Elephas maximus indicus: one gene and its partner. The protein of the gene in region 2 interacts with the protein of the main gene of each other region in a biochemical or structural test. Links are inferred from orthologs where the notes say so. Each region holds a gene or a part of one and is shown on either strand. Other genes may lie near its edges. The genes, in order: SETD7 and DNMT1.

What was found.
Region 1: of the proteins of DNMT1 (region 2) and SETD7, one has a biochemical effect on the other in vitro, tested with the Homo sapiens proteins (2 studies listed by BioGRID and IntAct, with this or other methods). The link is inferred for Elephas maximus indicus from reciprocal best matches to the Homo sapiens genes DNMT1 and SETD7.

The regions. Positions count from the first base shown.
Region 1 is NC_064823.1:3,707,888-3,711,795, reverse strand, and holds the start of SETD7 (histone-lysine N-methyltransferase SETD7), read right to left. Parts: upstream 3,052-3,908; 5' UTR 2,787-3,051; coding exon 2,372-2,786; intron 1-2,371. UniProt on the Homo sapiens protein: Histone methyltransferase that specifically monomethylates 'Lys-4' of histone H3. H3 'Lys-4' methylation represents a specific tag for epigenetic transcriptional activation.
Region 2 is NC_064821.1:28,326,486-28,330,393, forward strand, and holds the start of DNMT1 (DNA (cytosine-5)-methyltransferase 1), read right to left. Parts: upstream 2,647-3,908; 5' UTR 2,493-2,646; coding exon 2,413-2,492; intron 2,385-2,412; exon of another isoform or gene 1,926-2,384; coding exon of another isoform or gene 1,897-1,925; intron 1-1,896. UniProt on the Homo sapiens protein: Methylates CpG residues. Preferentially methylates hemimethylated DNA. Associates with DNA replication sites in S phase maintaining the methylation pattern in the newly synthesized strand, that is essential for epigenetic inheritance.

The DNA of each region.
Region 1 (3,908 bases), on a different chromosome or scaffold from region 2:
ACGTGCTGAGAAAACAGTTGAAAAAATTAGCAGATTGCGAGTAAATAACAACCAGAGAGAATTAGTTTTCTACAGTAAAGCTAGGGTCTATACACACCTTTCTCCCTGAATTCTACCAGATTCAACCTTTAATGAGTTATACTGATAAAGAATAATAACTGCATAACATTTAACTGTCGCTTCCAAATTCAGTTTGTAAACAACTATTTTATATACTTGACAGGCCCATTAGAAAGAAAAAATGTGGGGAGACAGTATGAGATGGTAGTAGAGTGGGGTTCTGAAGGCTCCGTATCTGTCTCCCCACCTAGCTACGTGACCTTGGATTAGTTAACTTCTCTTGCCTCAGTTCCCTCCTCTGTAAAATCAGGATCATATGAGCACCCACCTCATAAGACTGAATGGAAAATAGATATGAAACACTTAGCACCGAGCCTGCACATCATGAAAACAGTTATAATTTACAAGTAAATTATAACAATAGCTATGACAATGAAACTATTGAGAACAGAGGCTCTGTTTACGGAGGGTAAGGTAGAGGAGATAGAACTTAAAAAACCAAAATATTCAGACTAGCTTCTCTTTGGGAAAGTTTACCACATTGTCTCATGCATGTGTTGGGTGATGAAGTCAAGGGCATTATAGACAGCACTAAGAATGAATGGAGAAAAGCCCGGGGGTGCAGTTTACTGTCCGTGCCTAGACACTGCTCCAGTTTGAGCCTGAGACTCGCCTAAGGACTTGGAAAGGTTCTGAGTTCCTCTGTTTACAGTTAGGTACAATTGAGTCACCATGTGTCCTGGATTGGCCCAGACATTCAAGGTTTATTAATAGTTCCCCCTCTCATCTCAGAAGTGTTCTGATTTGGACAATAATGCATATGGTCACCCTAGAAAACTAGTAAGAACTTGCCCTGATTCTAATCCACCAGACAATCTCAAAAACAACACCCATACATTTCTAAAGCCACTTGTTTACATTCTGCAAATGAGCCTAAGGACCAGGGGACACAGGTCTTCAAAGGGGAAGGTGCTTCAGTCTGGAGAGCACTGCTGTTACCAAGGGTTTACTTTAAATTTTTACAAGTAAACCTAACCTTTGAATAATGAGAGCAAAACCCATCAATCTGAGAACAGCATTTTCATCCTTCTTCTTTTTTTTTTTTTTTTGTAACAAGGAAGCACAAGAAGTCAGTAACTTTTAAATTCTAAGAAGGCTTCCTATGGATCAACTGAATGTCTTTGGACCCCAGTATGCCCCCACATGAGCTTTACTTATTAGATTGATACATAGCTCTGTGAGTTCAAATCATTATGCAAATTTTCTTAACTTAAAAAAAAAATTACATGCTGGCTTTGATGCTGGATGAAGAAATAAGAAATTTTACAAGTTACATTAAAATGGATACCTTTTAGAGAATTCAGAAATACTATTCTACTTTATGTCATCTTAAAACCTCTGGTGTACTTCAAAAGGAATCAATTCTGTTTTATAAAAATATAAAAATGTATTTCGTGCCTCAAAGAAGAAACAACTATGTGCCCTAATACATTGGTACGATGTCACCACTTTTTCTTTACTGTTTGTGAAAAACTTGTTTACACCAATTAGATAGAAACAAGATTCAACCAACGCCTAAAAATTTATTTACTTAGATGCCTGGTTTAAAATGTTCTGGAATAATACCACACAACATTGCAAAACATCACGACGTACCGTCTGGGGGTAAAACCAAATAAATAAATACGCTAAAGAGTATTTTCCAATATTCACTGTACAAAATCATAACACTTCAGGGTACAAACAAGGAGATTGTATAACGTCCCCACCTCGTTTTTTTAGAACTAGCGAGAGGTGGAGAAACTCAGCAAAACAAAGTGGCAACAAAAGTCGGGGGAGGGGCGCTAGAAGAGAAGGGGCGGAGAAACACGACACCAAAGCGGTGATATCACCCACAGCCAACTGCGTGGAATTCAGAAAGTTAAGTATCACCCAGCAATTTCAGTCCCGGCTTGCGGCGCGCCTGCACAGCGTGGCGGCGGCGGCGGCGGCGGCACCGGGACTGGGAAGCAGGCAGGGGGAGGGGGCGGTGTGGCTGAGTTCGCTCGAGGGCAGGAGAGGGAAGGGTCACCCGCCTGCCGGACTGTACGCGTTCAAGCCCCGAGTCGGGACTGTGGTCCCTGGCCCGCAATGATTTCATCTTCTCGTCGGGCCACGGCTGCCACGTGCCAGGTCCGGCCCCGTGCGCTGCGCCAGGGGACTGACCCAGGCCCGGCCTCGGGCGCCGCGGGGCGCAGCACCGAGCGGAAGGAAAGGGCTGGCGACGGAGAGGAGCTCGGGGTGGCCAAAATGGGGTAGGGGGATTACTCACGGAGACCGCTCCTAGGGTCTGCCTTCTTGCGCACCGCTCCTCCATCCCCGAAAAGAGGGAGGCCGGGGTGCCGGGCAGGATTCGCAACTCCGAGGGCGGATGCAGGCTGCGGCTGGGCGGGATGGATCAGCCGTATCCCCCCAGGGGCTCCGGCCCGGCGGAGCCCGGTTCCCGGCCTGCGCCTTGCCGCGCATTGCGTGCCCCCAGTGGCGTAGCCGTGGCTACCCGGCCCCCACCGGAGCCGGGCAGCCGGCCACCCGCGTAGCGGACTGTGGCGGCCGCGGGGCCCGGTGCCGCGCCGGCCGCTGCCGGCCACTCCTCCCGCGCTCCGAGCCCTCCGCGCCTCCTTTCCTGGCCCCGAAGAAATGCTTGTACCTTCCACCGCCTCCTCCACCATCTCATCGTCGCTATCCATGGCGGCTGGGGACCCTGCCCGGCTGTGGGCCGCGCTGCTGCCTCCCGTCCCTCCTGGTGCTCCCGGCGGCTGAGCGAGCGCTGGGGCTCAGCCCTGCGAGTTTGGAGGAGGAGGAGGAAGAGGAGGAGCAGTCGGGGCTGGCTCGCACTGCCTCCCCCTACAGCCCTTCTAATTCCTTGGCCTTCAACTGCTGCGGCAGCAGCCGTCCTTCCTTCGCCCACTTGCCCCTCGCCTCCGAGGCTCCCGGGTGACGCTGCGGTCGCCGCCGCTGCTGCAACTTTCTCCTGTAATACCCCCTCTTTGTTATCGAGCAGCTGATCCGCTGACATCACCCGGCGCCGGTGCGCTCCCTCCCTCGCTGATTGACAGTTCCCTGTCCCTTCCCAGAAGTAAGATTCCTTAAAACGAAAGACGCTCCGGGTCCGCGCAAACTCTGCGTCCCAGCCAACAAGCCCCCGGGCCCATCAGCGTTTATCTTTTGCTTATGCGCGACTTGGCGAGCTCTGAGCGCGCCATGCGGTCCTGGGCGTCTCGGGCTTCTTGCGGACACTTCAGACCACGGAAGCCGCCTGTGGGGGCTTTGCACTCTTGACCTCCAGGTGTGCTAAGGGCAACTTGGAAGTCCGTCGTGCAGTGCCAGTCGTCCCTCGTCGGGTCAGCGTCCGAAGAGCAGAAGAAGCGTTTCTGACGCTCTTGCTCCTCTACTTCCTCTAGTCCCCACTTCACCCAGTTTGCCACCCGGAGCCGCACGAGTGCAGCACGCACGGGAGCGAGGATGTCGCCGCAGCCCCGCATAACCTCCGCAAGCCGGTTTCCCGGACTCGACGGGGTGTCATGTGACTCCGATTCCGCCGGACTGTGGGTCCCACCCCAGCGCGCTTCGTTCACACCCTCCTCTGGACCGCCGAGCGCGTCGGGTGATTCAGAGATTAACCAAACCCAAATGACAGCGGGCTCCTTATCAGGCAGGAAACAAGGCGCGCCGAAGGCCCTGGAAGTTCCTAGTTGCAATGTGGTAATGGTTAAAGGAGCTACGGAGGAAAGACCCTCCTCCGTCTGGAGCGCGTGTGTGTGTGTTCTCCCCCCCGCCCCCCACCCCGCCGCTGTTTCTTCAAGTGCCAA
Region 2 (3,908 bases):
AACTCAAAGACTTAAAAATCCAAACGTGAAAATTCTTTCTAGTATCATCGTACATCTAATGGAGTCATATCTGAGTTTAAAAAGGAAGCTGCCATATAAACACAAGTTCGCAGAAGGGACAGAAACTGCAAGAGCAGCCTAATGAGGACCAGGCCTAATTTAGCTCCTGGAATATTCTACTCAACTTATGTACCTCTTATAGATTATGCTTCTCTACTAACTTCACTAAATCAAGAAGTTATACTGCTATTTACAAATCTAAGTTTCAATGTCATGTTTATGCGTGTATTTTTTTGTACCGTAAAGTATTTCCAAATGTAAATTAAAAAAAAAAAGTTGTTGAGAGGGTCGCATAAACTGACATTTCAATTACCACCACACGGCCTAAAGCAGGCGTTCGAAACTTCATACCTCGGTGGGCAATTCTAGCTCAAAGTAATATGGAACCCGGGGTGAATGGTGGATTGTAAGATTCATCTAAACCAAAAAACCAAACCTGGTGCCATAGAGTCGATTCTAACTCTATGCAAGCCTAAAAAACAGAGTAGAACTGCCCCATAGGGTTACCAAGGCTGTAATCTTTGTGGAAGCAGACTCCCGCATCTTTCTCCTATGGAGCGGCTGGCGAGATCGAACCACAGGCCTTTTGATTAACAGCTGAGCACTTAACCACTGCACCACCAGGGCTCACCTAAAGGTATTTGAATTCAGCCATACAAAACACTTTGTGTGGGCCAAATAGAGCACCTAAGCCCATTCACAACCAGCCCCTAGTCAAAGAGAAGGGCTTTGGCAAAAAGCAGGCCTAGGCAGGAATCCCTGCTTCCTAGCAGTGAACTACCCAGCAGCTACTCTTAAAGACTCGAGGATTAACTGAGATAATGTAAAGCACATTATATAATTAGTAGCTGATTAGCAGGAGTGAGAAAACCAAGCTAAATTAGCTGATAACAATGCTAACATTTGAGCCTTTACACGGCAGACATATTCTCATTTAACCCACTGCTAGTTTATAACCCGTGTTATTAATCCTAGTCCACAGATGCAGACAGGCAGTACACACTTGCCTAAGGCCATAAACAAGTCAGTGGAGGAGGAGTTCTCACCATCAAGGTAAATAAGGCTGGGCCCAAACTTCTCTTGTTGGGGCCTAATGTCATGAAGCCTGGTACTTTCGTAATTCCACTTCCATTTTAAATACTAAGGTATCTTGGGGGAGAGGGAGACCTATGGTTTCCTCCCACAAGACACATCCCCTGTTAAGAAGTGGTTTGAACCATAAACTCCTGGTACAGAAACCCGAGTACCCCACCCCACCCCCAAGAGCCCAAATCAAAACTGACCTGGCACAACCATAGAGGTTGGTTAGACAGAGAAAACAAGGGCAGGGAAATGGCAAAACCAGGTTCACAAATCTGGCTGGAAGTGTTCAGACCTGGTCAGGGTTCCTGCTGTCTACACACACACCTCACTTGAAACAAGTTTTCAAAGAGTGAATTTAACGCCCATCAGGACCAAAGGCCTGGGTCAAACAGTCTTCCCGCCAAGCCCTGCCTGCAGAGGTCCCTACTTAGGCGTTAAGTGCTCCAGCGGGGGCCCAGACATTAGCCGGCCCCCTCACTTCCCCACGCTGGAAACCGCAGCCAGTTCTCACTAGCAAGGCTTCCTCGGTGCCCATGCCTCAAGGCACAGATTCACAGCGGCAGATTTCCTAGGAAAGACCAGAACGCATTCAGCCTTCACGCTGCCCCAGTCCTGGCCCTAAGCAGCAGGGTAAGAGTTCTTCCAGAATACGACCTCCCCAGACGGGCGAGAACCGGCAATCTGAGATGGGGCGAGAGCCCCGCAAGGAAAACGAGGCTCGAAAACCCGAGCCGACTGCGCCCGGCCCCTGACCGGCGACGTCCGTGTCTGGAGGCCGCCATCGGGATCCGCAGCGTACGGCGGTTGTAGGGGCCGAGGGGAACGTGAAGTGCCCCAAGGGGGCCGGCGGGCCAGACCCCCGAGCTGGCCGGGCACCGGAAATAGAGGCCGGAGTGCGGGGCCCAGGGGTGTCCAGAGGCTGCGGGCTACCCACTTCCTGCCCGACCAGGCTGGCAGCAGGAGCCTGGCCCACGGCAGCTTAGGGAAGGGGACCCTCGAGGTGAACCCAAAGCTTGCTCTACTTGGGCGTCTGAAAAGAAGCCGAGTTTCTAGTCACCAGGGAATTGTAAGGGGCCTCAGCCCATTTTGGCGCCAAATGGCCAGGGGCGCGCGCGACCGGAAGTGCCACCCTGCCCGCGCCAACCGCTGCCGCGCCACCCCGCGCATGCGCGCCCGCCTGTCAGCGGCGGACCCGGGCCGCCCCGAGGGGAAGCAACCCCCCCTAGTGCTGTGCCTCCCCCCAGGTGCGCGGTCTCCCGCGTCACTTACCGCCTGCGGACATCGTCGGGCAGTGAGATGGCCGGGGATGCCAGCGTGGGCACCCGGGCCGGGGCGGTGCGGGCAGGCATCTCGGAGAATGCAGTTGAAGCGGCGGCAGCGGCGCGGGCGGCCCCGGCTTTTCGCGCGGAAACTGACGGGGAGGGGCGGTGAACGGAGGCGGCGCATACCACCCAGACCCGGACGCGGGGGAAGGCGGGACGTACCAAGCGGAGAGACGCCGTAACAAGTGCGTGCAGACAGAGTGGAGCGGGCCGTGCTCAGGGCCGCGCATGCGCGAGTACGGTGCGCACCCCCGCGTGGAACAGTGAGCTCGCCCAACCTCCGCCGTTTCCAGAGGAGGGGGCGCCCAGCCGGAGACATTCATTCATTCATTCTTTTCGGCAGGTTAAGGATAAAGGAGCCACCACCTGCAGAAGGTTACGAACGTGTAGGCTCTTAAGTTAAAGTCCTCAGTTCCGACCCCACTTCCGCCTATTTGCTTACCGTACGACCTTGGGTGAGCCACTTGGACTCAGCCTCAGTTTTCTCATCTGTAAAACGGGATTAATAGCACCTACTCCAGAAAATCTTGAGGATACACAGGATGTGTAGCTAGCACCAAAGACTGCGGCGGGGCAGGGAGGCCCAGGACACTTCCACAGCCTGTGTATTTAAATAGCACTAGGACGGAGTTAAAAATTGCGGTATGTTTTTACATTTTTGTAGTTAAAAAGCGAATGCATTTATATACACACACACCCGAACAGCTGGGGGTGCGAGCGGTCCCCCTGGATAGAAGTAGATCTCAGGCCCTCTGGTTGCTATGGGTCACTCACGCATAGCAGGCTCAAAAAAACCAAAACGCGTTGCTGTTGATTCCGACTCAGCGACCCTATAGTACAGAGTAGAATTGTCCCGTAGAGTTTCCAAGGAGCGCCTGGTGGATCAGAACCGCCAACATTTTGGTTAGCAGCAGTAGCTCTTAACCACTATGCCACCAAGACTCAGGAGGACTGAAAATATTAGTAAGGCTGCAATTAATGGCTATTCATTTAGTATTTAGTCAGCACTTATGTGGCACAGTAGTTAAGAGCTCGACTGCTGACTAAAAGGTCGGCAGTTCAAATCCACCAGCCACTCCTTGGAAACCGCATGGGGGCAGTTCCACTCTTTCCTCTAGCATTGCTATGAGTCAGAATTCACTTGAGGGCAACAGGTTTACGTACTTCATTGTACTAGGCCCTTGTTAGGTGCCGTCGCGTCAGCTCCGACTCATAGTGAATCTACGTATGATAGAACGAAGCACTGCCCGGTCCTGCGCCATCCTCACAATTGTTATGCGTGAGCCCATTGTTGCAGCCACTGTGTCAAACCATCTCATCAAGGGGCTTCCTCTTTTCCACTGACCCTGAGTTTTATCAAGCATGATGTCCTTCTCCAGGGACTGATCCCTCCTAACAAGATGTCCAAAGTATGTAAGATGTAGACTGACCATCCTTGTTTCT